Drosophila melanogaster: one gene and its partner. The gene in region 1 interacts genetically with each later gene. Each region holds a gene or a part of one and is shown on either strand. Other genes may lie near its edges. The genes, in order: cg and en.

The links.
Region 2: of cg (region 1) and en, changing one enhances a phenotype caused by changing the other (phenotypic enhancement), as found in Drosophila melanogaster (one study listed by BioGRID).

The regions. Positions count from the first base shown.
Region 1 is NT_033778.4:14,171,495-14,176,737, forward strand, and holds the start of cg (combgap), read left to right. Parts: upstream 1-2,198; 5' UTR 2,199-2,952; coding exon 2,953-3,078; intron 3,079-4,911; coding exon 4,912-5,048; intron 5,049-5,117; coding exon 5,118-5,197; intron 5,198-5,243. Other genes in the region: ReepB (receptor expression enhancing protein B), read left to right, coding at 796-1,028, 1,090-1,189, 1,253-1,314; mRpS16 (mitochondrial ribosomal protein S16), read right to left, coding at 1,537-1,809, 1,875-1,991.
Region 2 is NT_033778.4:11,523,441-11,530,273, reverse strand, and holds en (engrailed), read left to right. Parts: upstream 1-2,063; 5' UTR 2,064-2,603; coding exon 2,604-3,915; intron 3,916-5,048; coding exon 5,049-5,146; intron 5,147-5,426; coding exon 5,427-5,675; 3' UTR 5,676-6,268; downstream 6,269-6,833. UniProt on the Drosophila melanogaster protein: This protein specifies the body segmentation pattern. It is required for the development of the central nervous system. Transcriptional regulator that represses activated promoters. Wg signaling operates by inactivating the SGG repression of EN autoactivation.

The DNA of each region.
Region 1 (5,243 bases):
CCGAAGTCTATATACACTTGCAAAAATGACGGACGTTGATTCATCATACAAACATTTGGCCTCATTAGCTGTTCAACAGTTCGGCATACTTTAATAATCAAAACAAATTGTGTAAACAAATATATGCATATTAGGGAACAACCATTTATGGAGAATTCGCAATTCACATCAAATGATCTGATCGACTAAGGATATAGTTTCTGTGGCTTGTAATGAAACCCACCTTTTTGCAATGATGTTGCTCAAATTAAAGTACCCTCAGCCAGGGTATAAATATAATTAGCCGCCATCGAGCATGAATGACATCATAAATTTATGGCAAAACAACAGGCCGTAGTCCGCTCATCTGGGTGGGCAAAATGCAACTGGCCGGGATCAGAGGCAGGTCGAGACATCTACTGACAACAGCTAAGGGTTTATAATTAGCCAACGGCATGGGGCGGTTTAAAAACCCCAGGGATCCACGAAGGGGCGCCCTTGAAAGCTGTACGAGCACCTGGCACTGTGCCCTTGGAACAGTTAGTCTTGTAGCTAAAGTTTGTAAGTGTTAACTCCATCTGATCACCCTGCGCCCTGTGGAACCGCTCCTGCCCTTGGACCTGCTTATAGCCATAAGGGAAAATGCGCCACTAGGGCAATATCAATTGACCAACTAGATGGCGAACATGGCAGTCGAGGAATTAGAGAGCAAAATTGTCCAACTGTTCGTAGAGAACCCCCTCCTGCGCTACGGTAGAGCTCCAGCAGTGACTTAATGCTATTTACTAATAAGGTATTATATTTCATCATATGTAGGTGCTGTTGGTCTGTGCGCCATCTACCTGATCTTTGGCTGGGGCGCCCAACTACTGTGCAACATCATTGGGGTTCTGTACCCTGCATATATTTCCATCCATGCCATCGAGTCCAGCACAAAGCAGGACGACACCAAGTGGCTGATCTACTGGGTCACGTTTGGAATCTTCACCGTGATTGAATTCTTTTCGAGTCTGCTAACTTCGGTGATTCCCTTTTACTGGCTGCTGAAGGTGAGCTTTGCATTCTTCACATATAAGAATCTTCTTTTAAATGCTTCAACTCCACATGTAGTGTGCTTTCCTCATCTGGTGCATGCTGCCCACGGAACAGAATGGTTCTACCATCATCTACAACAAGCTGGTGCGACCCTACTTCCTGAAACATCACGAATGTGAGTAAATTCACCTCTTAGATATTGCAATTTTACTAAAAGGAGATCAATATTTGCACACAGCCGTTGACAGGATCATCGATGATGGCATGAAGAAAGCCGCTGGAGTGCTGAAGCATGACTAGAAGGCGAATGTACCGTAGCTCCGACCGCTTCTCGCTTATCCATGCATTTGGTTTTGGGCCTGGTCACCAACCTCACCTCGTATTGGTTACGTTTTGCAATAAATTTTAATTCTGTATTCATTTTGTTGTTGATAAGAGCACCAGTGTTCGCTGAACCAGAAGAAATCTCCGTTTGTTAAACGTAAAAACGAAAAGGAGGCTTTTATTGAGGCACAACTATATTTATGCGGTTGATTCCGCCTTTTCTGGCGACGCCTCCGCTTCAGCAGCTGTCCTCCGGTTCCGCCAGGCGGTCATGTAGGTGCGCGGGTGGATGGGCAGTAGTCCGGCAATTCCCAGGAGTTCTGCAGCCGGCGTGGACAAGTGTGCACCTTTGCCCAGCCAATAGCGAATTCTCTCCGTGTTCAGGGCCACCAGTCGTTCGTTGTAATCGTTGGGCAGGGGATCAAAGGAGCCCACCTGCTCGATGACAGGCTGGTGCTGGTTCTTGCGCCTCTAAACCGGAAAATACAATTACCAATTAAAAGTTTTAACCATTTTAATGGCCTAAAAGTACGCACCTCCATGACGACAATGTGATAAAAAGGCCGATTGGTGCATCCCAGGCGTACGAAACGTATGATTTTTGCCGACTTGGCGTAGAAACGACCAATGCCACTGGCTGGCGATAGAGACATCCCGATATTTTATATATCTAATACAAGTTTTGGCATAAAATAAGGATTCTTCAATCAGAAAATGTGAATTGTTATGCAAAGCATGACCGTTGAGGGAAAATTTAACAATACCAAGCGATTGGGTCACACTATTAGTTAGCCCTAACAGCGTTGCCACCTCCGACCGCCCATGTTAGACAGTTGCGGCACCTCGACAACCCTGGCCTGCGCACACACAAGATGGCGTCAGAGAACGAGAAGCACGAACACTAAGGAATTTGTTCAGTGGTGTCTGTGTCTGTGAATTATATTGAAGGAAAAAGAGTGTTTTGTTTATAAATTTAATTGCAAAAACTGCACATCGTCACACGGGGCGCGTGCACACACATCGGCGCACACGCACACCCACGCCAAGGCGACACCTAAACGCAAAACGGAGAGTGTGTGTTATCAATGGAGTGTGTGTTCCCCAACGCCAAGTGAATTTTTTTCGTTGAGACCGAGGGACGGAAAAAAATGGCGCCCGCAGCCAGAGCAACTTGACTTTCTTTTCGGTCCTATATAGTTAGTAGTTGCTTGCCCCCGTCTCGTCGTCGGCGAGCGAATTCGGTGATTTTATTTCGATTTCGTCGCAGTGCGATATCCCCAACGAAGAAAACATAACGAATAATTGATGAAAAAGTGCTTGAGAGAGACCCCCCCAAACGTATTCGAATTTGTTGTGTACATTTTGGCTTCGAACACAGCCGCAAAAATACCATTACCAATTTCCACTTACTACTACTAGAGAGGAGGATAGTATTTTGTACGTGCTTTAGAATACATACATACATACCTACATATACCACAAGCAAGCGAGAAGTGCAATTACATTTGCGTTTGGAAATTTTGCGCTTTTTTCTCTTCCGTCCTCCCATCCAAAAAAAAAAACCCCCCGCTCCCCCTCTCTCTCTATCTTTCTCAACCCGCATTGTGCTAAATAATGTGTGCCGCCCAGAATCCGCCGCCCTTCGGCTATACCTGGGGTTTTGCGGACAACGGCAACCGCGCCGCCGAATCGGTACTGGAGATATCGCCCAACATCAACTATACAGTCAGCGGGGAGTCGGTGAGTCCAAAGTTATAGCTCTATTAAACTGATAAACCCGTTGAAAGCTGCCAGTCTGAGGATATTTCCCCCCTGTTGCCGACATTGCTCCAGGTGCGTGCGTGTGTGGGTGTTGGTGCTGCTGTTGCTGTTGCTTTCCCACACCGAATTGTGTTGTGGCCCACCAATGCATACACACAAACGCACACACGCACTGCGTTACACTCGCTCACGGACTCGCTCGTCTCACCAACACTCGCTGCTTTCGGCAACGAACTGTGTATGTATACGGCCCGAATGGCATTCACGTATACGGTATACGTGGAAAACGAGCGACAGCAACTGCGATATACATACTTACGTACATGTACAACGTATATATGCATACGCCACACGCTTTATGTAACTGCGTTGTCATGCGAATATACGAATATGTACGAATGAACGTACGTATGTATGTTTTTATGGGGGGGATGGAGCGAGTGTATTAGAATTCTTTTAGCATACATCCATACGGATTTTTTTCGTTTCCATTTCATTCGTAAACATTCATAATTTGGTATTTGTAAAACGAATGCGTACACAATTGGCTCTGTGTGCGGAGAAATTCCCAAAATACAACACGCGCACCTGGCGAGCAAGTAAATAAATAAATAGCAATAAATTCCCCCCACAGGCAAATCGGAGCAGTTAATTAGCGGGAAGGTCGTGAAATTTTCAAAAGTCTGGCAGCTGGTACAGGCAATCGATGCTAATCGATATTTTTCTAGGCTATTCATGCATATATCGCTAACCTAATTTAAGTTCTATTAATAATTATTGCTTATCCATAGGTTTTTTTGTTGTTTGTTTCTTTTTTTTTGAGAGCAATATTTTTTGTTGTGCAATTGACAGGAGAAATTGTGTTTGTTGTTTTTTAGTTTATATTTGCGGGCACTTATACAATGGCAAACGCGGCGAATTCGCCGCACTTGCGCGCCCGATATCTCCGCATGTGTGCGTCAGTGCCGAATTCGCCGCGCTTGCTGCCCTCTGTATGTGTGTGTATGTATGTATGCACGCACACTCGACCAGAAATGACGTGTGCTCCCCAGTGTGCGTTTGGTGTCGTGCGTGTGTTTTGATTACTTTTGCCGCACCATTTTGGCGCCCATCACACACACTCCCATGCCACGATGTCCAATTGCACTCACACACATACAGAGTGAAAAAGGCGCGCTTTTTGCGAACATCCCCTCCCGCTCTTAGCGCCCAACTTCCCCCCTCGTTCGTCGTCTATCATCTGTTGCCGCACTGCTGGCTGCGCAGGTGTAGCGTGGTTATTGGCGGTTATTATCAATCAGAGCGAAAACAAAAGACAAGCACTTGGCCAATAGAAGCATCAACCGCCAACAACTCCAAATCACAGCCTGCAGATCTTAGCGAGTGGCGACTGTACTTGCTGCCAAGTTTTAATTTCCCAAAAAAAAAAAGGTTCATGAAGGTCAATTCATTCATAAGTTTGAGCTGAACAATAAAACTGCTACAAGTTTACTTCCTCTCATTTGTTTAAATCGTTTTTGGGACATTAAAATTGTAGAAATGACTAGGGGCAATGTACATAGATTAAAAATTATTTATTATTCTTTTATATAAAAGAGCCTTTGTTGTTTGATATGTAACATTTCTTGAATGAAAGATAGATTTATAAAAAAAATGTGTAAGCCAGGCTTTCCTAAAATCGCAATTCCCAGGACCACGTGTAAACTAAACATGCAACTCCTACAACATAAGCATTATTAAGTTTATTTAGAAATTAGGACAAACCTTTAATTTATCCCCATTAGCCATGAGTACTAAAAGTCTTTGTTCCAGATGCCCTATCTACTATCGACGGATGGATCATTGGCAGTTCAAAAGGATGTCAAAGGCCTTACAGCTGGCGGCAAAAATAATGTCGTTCGTCGTATGTTCGTCGTAAACGATCCTTCATTTCCGCCTGGAACACAAAGGTGCGTTGGCGCTCCAGCAGCCCAAAGAGATCCCCAATGTACATATACCTAATTCTCAATCCCTTGCAGAGTTATCACTGCCGGCGGAGCATCGACGGTGGTCAAGAAGCAGGACAACAATCAGCAGGTCCTGAGCCTCGACAAGAACTGTAAGTGGATCGATTCTAAACGAATCAAAAACCCATCGAATCGATT
Region 2 (6,833 bases), 2.6 Mb from region 1:
ATATGATCGCACATATAAATCTACCGACATTAAAATGAAAATTTTCATGCAGCGTAATGTGTTTCTTTGGTATGTTTTGGCACCCTGACAAGTTCGTTGTTTGAGTCTTTTGTTTGGCCGGCAGCTACGAAGCTGAGAAAAAGCCATTAGAGATCGAAAAGTAACCGAAACAGAAATAGAAACAGAAACAGTAGCCGAAGTGGTGGAAAGCCAAAGCTCATTAGCAGTTACCATTTTATCCAAACAGACGCATCATTATCATTAAGGGCAAACGGGAAAGCAGCAAAAGCAGCCACAGCAACAATAGCAACCACAGCAGCAGCATCAGAAACAAGTTGAAAACTTTAATTAACGCATTTTTACGCAACTGTCGGCAGCAGTTTAACCCTTTTCGTGGCCAAATGCTGAGCAAACACGACAACGGTAATAATTGAAAATCATGGCAATCAAAGCGGAAAGTGTGTAGGGGAATGGAACGGTGTGGAAGGGTGGAAGTTGAGCGGAAAATCAACAGCTGCCGACGGCAACAGCGGAATGTGTAAGAGGAAGATGGTCAAAGGGGGTGTGCGAGAGAGAGGCAGCAGCCATTGTTGTCATGCGTGAGAGAGCAGGGCAGAGTGAGCGAGAAGCGCACAGTGCGAGAGCGAGTGAGACAACTATCTATTCGAAGTTCGAAATTCAAAAGGGGAAATAGATTTGGCTCCGTTCCAGTTTCCAGTTTTTCCAACTTCGACTTTTAATGGCTGACCGCAGACTGGAAGGTGCGTTCGAACCGGTTAAGATCGAATCGAAACGGTTAAGACCACTCAACGGAATTTCAATTTATGCATCTGAGCTGTTCAAATATATTTATTAATTTATATTCGATTCAAGTCCATTTGATACTTATAAAAATGCGCATAAAAATTGAATAAATTTCGGCCCATTGATTGTGGAACAGGTTAACCACGAAATTTGCTCTAAATATGGATTATGGCTTATTGTTTGGGCGTTAGTTTGTTGGCGCGAATTGCTTATGTCACAATTGGCAACAGGAAATGTGGGAGTGTGAGTGGTGGCGAGATTACTCTCTAATTAAATCCTTTGCCCCATAAATCAGTAGCCCACATGGCAACGATCGCTTTTATTATGCAAAAATTAACACAACAAAATCTGCTAGCTATAAGGCAATTCATTAGCGATTTCGTTATTTGATTTCGGTTTTATTCACATCGAACAGATTCGTTGATTTATGAGCTATATATCAGTGGTTATATGTTCGGAATCCCACATCTATACACTATTTGCAGCACATGTTTCACATTTGTAGATCGTCGGTTGATTAGAGCCCCACAAAAAAGCGTTATTGTTAATGTCCAATGCCAAATGGCGTTCGTTTTTAACACCTTCTAAGGTTTATTTTGACAGTTAGCGATGGTTTTTCATTCGCTCGTCTGGCAAATCGATATTCGATGGGCAAATAAATAAATTAAATGTCAATTAAATATCAATCAATTTCGTCAGCTGTTTTTCAAGGCACATTTAACTGGTTAATTGAAGGCCTCAAAAATAAATTGTCATCGTGTATTTAGCGTATTTTTGTGAAAAATCGCAAATGATACTGGTGGTGGGAGTGGGGGTGATAAAAAGTTTCCCTTCATTTAAATTAAAACAATTAGCTTTGCGGTTTTTTTCCTCTCTTTCGATTCCCCCTCTACACATGGCCTAAAGGTGGTGTCGATAAAGTTGTAGGCTGTAGAAAACGCAGATTGAAACGTCGCGGCCGAAAACAAAATCAACAAAAACTAAATGCTTATGAAAAGTGTCTGTGGAAAGAGATGGCATGTGGCTCTCCCCCTCATGGAAAGGCAGCCATTTTCCTGGCCTACTCGCAGAGGGAGTGAACAGTGCCGCTATATGACCCCCACTCGGTAACGCCCCGTGAGAGAGGGAGAGCTTGCGCCTGCGCAGTTCGCTGGGGACACAGTTGTCAACCGGCTGACAGCTCCAGCATGCGCATAATAAAGTCATATTGCTGCCTAACAAGCCCCCCTCGCCAAATTGGCAAGAGAGAGTGAGAGCGAGAGGGAGCGAGCGAGAGAGCGCTCTGGCCAGCTAATAGGAGTGAGTGAGCCGGCGAAACCGGTTCGCATGGGGCAGGTGACAAGGCTAAGAGAGAGCGAAAATCGATCAGTGTAAGGCCGAAAAGACACATCTTCTACTCTCATCTCTTCATGTCACTGTCACCAACTGCTGTCACTCACTCACTCGCTCGCTCGCACACACTTCGCCAGCTACTTGTGGGATCTCGCCCTCTCGCTCCCGCACTCGGACCTCTCTTTCCACCGTGACAGTTCAATCGGCTCTCGCGTTAACTCTCCCCGACGTCGGCGCTGCGATTCCGAAGTAGTCAACTAATTCAGTCGTTGCGCTCGATGTGAACAGACGTGCGTGTCGGAACAACAGTTGCAAATCAAACACGAAAGCATAAGCCAAACAAAAAACACCAAACAGAGAAGAGAATCAGAAGATTCTGAGCAATCAGAAGAATCAGTGGCTCAGTGTCAAGTGACCCAGTGACAAGTGTCTTAAGCGAGTTGCGATTTAGCACCAAGTCGAAACCAATGGCCCTGGAGGATCGCTGCAGTCCACAGTCAGCGCCCAGCCCCATTACCCTACAAATGCAGCATCTTCACCACCAGCAACAGCAGCAGCAGCAACAGCAGCAGCAAATGCAGCACCTCCACCAGCTGCAGCAACTGCAGCAGTTGCACCAACAGCAACTGGCCGCCGGTGTCTTCCACCATCCGGCAATGGCCTTCGATGCCGCTGCAGCCGCCGCTGCTGCAGCTGCTGCTGCGGCCGCCCACGCTCATGCTGCTGCACTGCAGCAGCGCCTCAGTGGCAGTGGATCGCCCGCATCCTGCTCCACGCCCGCCTCGTCCACGCCGCTGACCATCAAGGAGGAGGAAAGCGACTCCGTGATCGGTGACATGAGTTTCCACAATCAGACGCACACCACCAACGAGGAGGAGGAGGCGGAGGAGGATGACGACATTGATGTGGATGTGGATGATACGTCGGCGGGCGGACGCCTGCCACCACCCGCCCACCAGCAGCAGTCGACGGCCAAGCCCTCGCTGGCCTTTTCCATCTCCAACATCCTGAGCGATCGTTTCGGAGATGTCCAGAAGCCGGGCAAGTCGATGGAGAACCAGGCCAGCATATTCCGCCCCTTCGAGGCGAGTCGTTCCCAGACTGCCACGCCCTCCGCCTTTACAAGAGTGGATCTGCTGGAGTTTAGCCGGCAACAGCAGGCTGCCGCCGCAGCCGCTACTGCGGCCATGATGCTGGAACGGGCCAACTTCCTTAACTGCTTCAATCCGGCTGCCTATCCCAGGATACACGAGGAAATCGTGCAGAGTCGGCTGCGCAGGAGTGCAGCCAATGCCGTCATCCCGCCGCCCATGAGCTCCAAGATGAGCGATGCCAATCCAGAGAAATCTGCTCTGGGATCCCTGTGCAAGGCGGTCTCGCAGATCGGACAACCTGCTGCCCCTACGATGACCCAACCTCCGCTGAGTAGCAGTGCCAGCAGCTTGGCCAGTCCGCCACCCGCCTCCAATGCCTCGACCATTAGCAGCACCTCTTCCGTGGCCACCAGCTCGAGCTCCTCCTCGTCGGGTTGCTCCTCGGCGGCCAGTTCCTTGAACTCCTCGCCCAGTAGCCGACTGGGAGCCAGTGGATCCGGAGTCAATGCCAGCAGTCCCCAGCCGCAGCCAATCCCGCCGCCATCCGCCGTTAGCCGAGATTCCGGAATGGAGTCCTCGGATGACACGCGTTCCGAGACGGGATCCACCACCACAGAGGGCGGCAAGAACGAGATGTGGCCCGCCTGGGTGTACTGCACCCGCTACAGCGATCGTCCCAGCTCAGGTTAGTATCTATGCGATTACCTAGCGTTTAAGTGGGTCAGAAAGAGGGTTCGTCGGGCACCATCTTCAGTGTTGTCAAAACAAGGAAGTCCCAAAGGTTCGTTAAAAAAAAAAAGATGTGAAAATGGTAAATGGTATATGGTTACATGGGGACCACCCTTGGGGAGCGTTATGTTGGCGGCAGCCTTTCAAGCAGCTCTGTTTTGTGTCATAAATCCGAAGGACACTGCCACAATTAGGCGACACGCGGACAATGGCAATGAGCCCGAATCTGACTCCCATTTCTATAACCATGCCCATTCCCATTCCCATTTCGTATCCGAATCCGAATCCGATTTTGGGCCTCACGCAGTGCTGCGCTGCTTTTGAAGAGCGACACTTTATGTGACAACATGTAGCGCAGAGCCAGCGCTTGTCTATCGGAACTGTTAGATCCTCAGGTCGAAGGTCACCGCTCACGCACACACGCCACGCAGAAGCCGAGACCCTAAAACGCGCTGACGATTGACAGGGGAAAAGTAGGTGCGGGGGAGATATGATGGCGGGGGAAGCCCCTTCGAAAGGAGAAGAGTTTTCCATTGACAAGCGGAGATTTTCCTTGCAGCTCTTCTTAGATCGTGTGTTAATTGACGAGTTAAGTGCTTTTTTATGGTCGGCAATGGTTTTTTAATTTGGTGTCGATGCAATCGATGGCAGCCCATAAGCGAGGCGTTGATGGCCCCACTCCGCGGCTAGGAATTAATCAAACGATCTCCACTTACTGGCGGTCAATTAAATTATAATTTACAATGTGTGGAAATCTAATAAGCACTACGGATTGCTGCGGTGCCGCGTTGCCAATTAGCCGGTGACTTGGACTTAGTCGCTAATTAGAGAGTTGGCTAGCTGGCAAATCATTTGCCTAAAATATGCCGTAGACCTTTGGGTTCGTTAACTCGCCGGAGTTCTACTCTTCTCTTGCGCTGACAGCTGACAAATTGAACACTTCCCCGCCAGCACGCGAAAGGGAGCTCCAGCTCCGGCCGAGGAATTCCGCCCAGACATATGCTAATTGAATCATTAATATTATTAATAGTATGTGGCGCATTTATGCAAATAGAACTAACGTATTTCTCGTGTTTTTGTTTATTCCAGGACCCCGCTACCGCCGCCCCAAACAGCCAAAGGACAAGACCAACGACGAGAAGCGTCCACGCACCGCGTTCTCCAGCGAGCAGTTGGCCCGCCTTAAGGTGAGATTCAGTTCTTTTTTCCATATATGGTTATATGGTTATACCAATATCCATCCATATCCATATCCAATTGCCCTACGCTTGTTGTGTCATATTTGCACCAAAATATTGACACCGCCCGCTGCTAATGCATCCTGGCAATGTGGTGTCCCGTCCGTACTTAACCAATCAGCCACGCTCGGCCGAAACCGCAAATAATTGATTTTCCCTACCTGACTATACAACATGGATATCCTTGCCATCCGAAACTCATCCAGCATTCCATTTCTTCCACTTACAGCGGGAGTTCAACGAGAATCGCTATCTGACCGAGCGGAGACGCCAGCAGCTGAGCAGCGAGTTGGGCCTGAACGAGGCGCAGATCAAGATCTGGTTCCAGAACAAGCGGGCCAAGATCAAGAAGTCGACGGGCTCCAAAAATCCGCTGGCACTGCAGCTGATGGCCCAGGGATTGTACAACCACACCACCGTGCCGCTGACCAAGGAGGAGGAGGAGCTCGAGATGCGCATGAACGGGCAGATCCCCTAAGCGCTGACCAATGGTTACCCATAAGGGGTTACTCCTTCTGACGGGGGCGTGCAATATTCGAGGGCGTACAAATGGTTTTCATGTGATATAATTGTAGCGTACATATGTTTTTGTATATATCTCTAAAAATATATATATATATACGTATAATCCTAACCTAGAGTAAGACCCATCCGTAGCGAATTCGAGCTGTAAGTTGTTGGCGTATTTATTTAACCACCCCTGGATAGCCGAAAGTATTATCGTAATCACCCGACACAAAGCCTATCGCTATCGCCGCACTTCAAAAGCTTCGACCTTCAGACGTTTATTCCTACACAAAACACTATCTATAGTTATTACTCCCTATAAATTACGCGCTTGCAACCGCTCTGTAAATTAAGTAACTTAACAGTTCCCTAGCTTAATTCCTAGTTTACACACTTAAGGATTGCTATGAAAGAGTATTTTAGTTTCTAAGCGAAATGTTAACGAGCAACTAATAGCTGGCAAATGCACCTAAGAAAATAACAACGAAATGTTTGTGCTAAAGCAAGTTCATGAAAAGAAAATTAAAAACAAAATAAAAGAATTATGGAAAAAAATTAAAATGCAATTGGTTTCCTCTGGGAATTGGAAGTCTGCTACATTAAAGGAAAATATGCCACCCATATATCGGAGGACATGCGGTCTAATCGGTGGCCTTATTTGTACTTTGTGTAGGGCGCCATTATCTTCTCTACGCTTTTTCATCTGTCACATCAAAGGCTATAGAACATTAAATCACGAACACTTGTCGTCGGGCGAGGGTGCCGCTAATTGCACAATCACATTCCGAACCAAAATCGGAGGCCGTCGACGAGTAACGGCAGCTCTTGCTCTTCGATTCCATTCCGTTTAATTAAAGCCAAATCCGCGCGTAGTATAAACAAATATCTGTGACGAGACAGAAGCCCAACAAACAGAAAGAAAAAAAAAAATGCAAAACTAAAGCGGCAGGGAGCAGTCATCAAATGATTTATTGGCACAGATCTCGCGGCGAGCGGCGTTAATTTGCTGAAAATAAATGCAAACGCGAAATGCAATGCAAAATTGTGGGAGGGGGCGGGATGAGCAGCTGACATTTACTGGCAAGCGTTGATGTGCACATACAATACACACACACACATGCACGGCTGT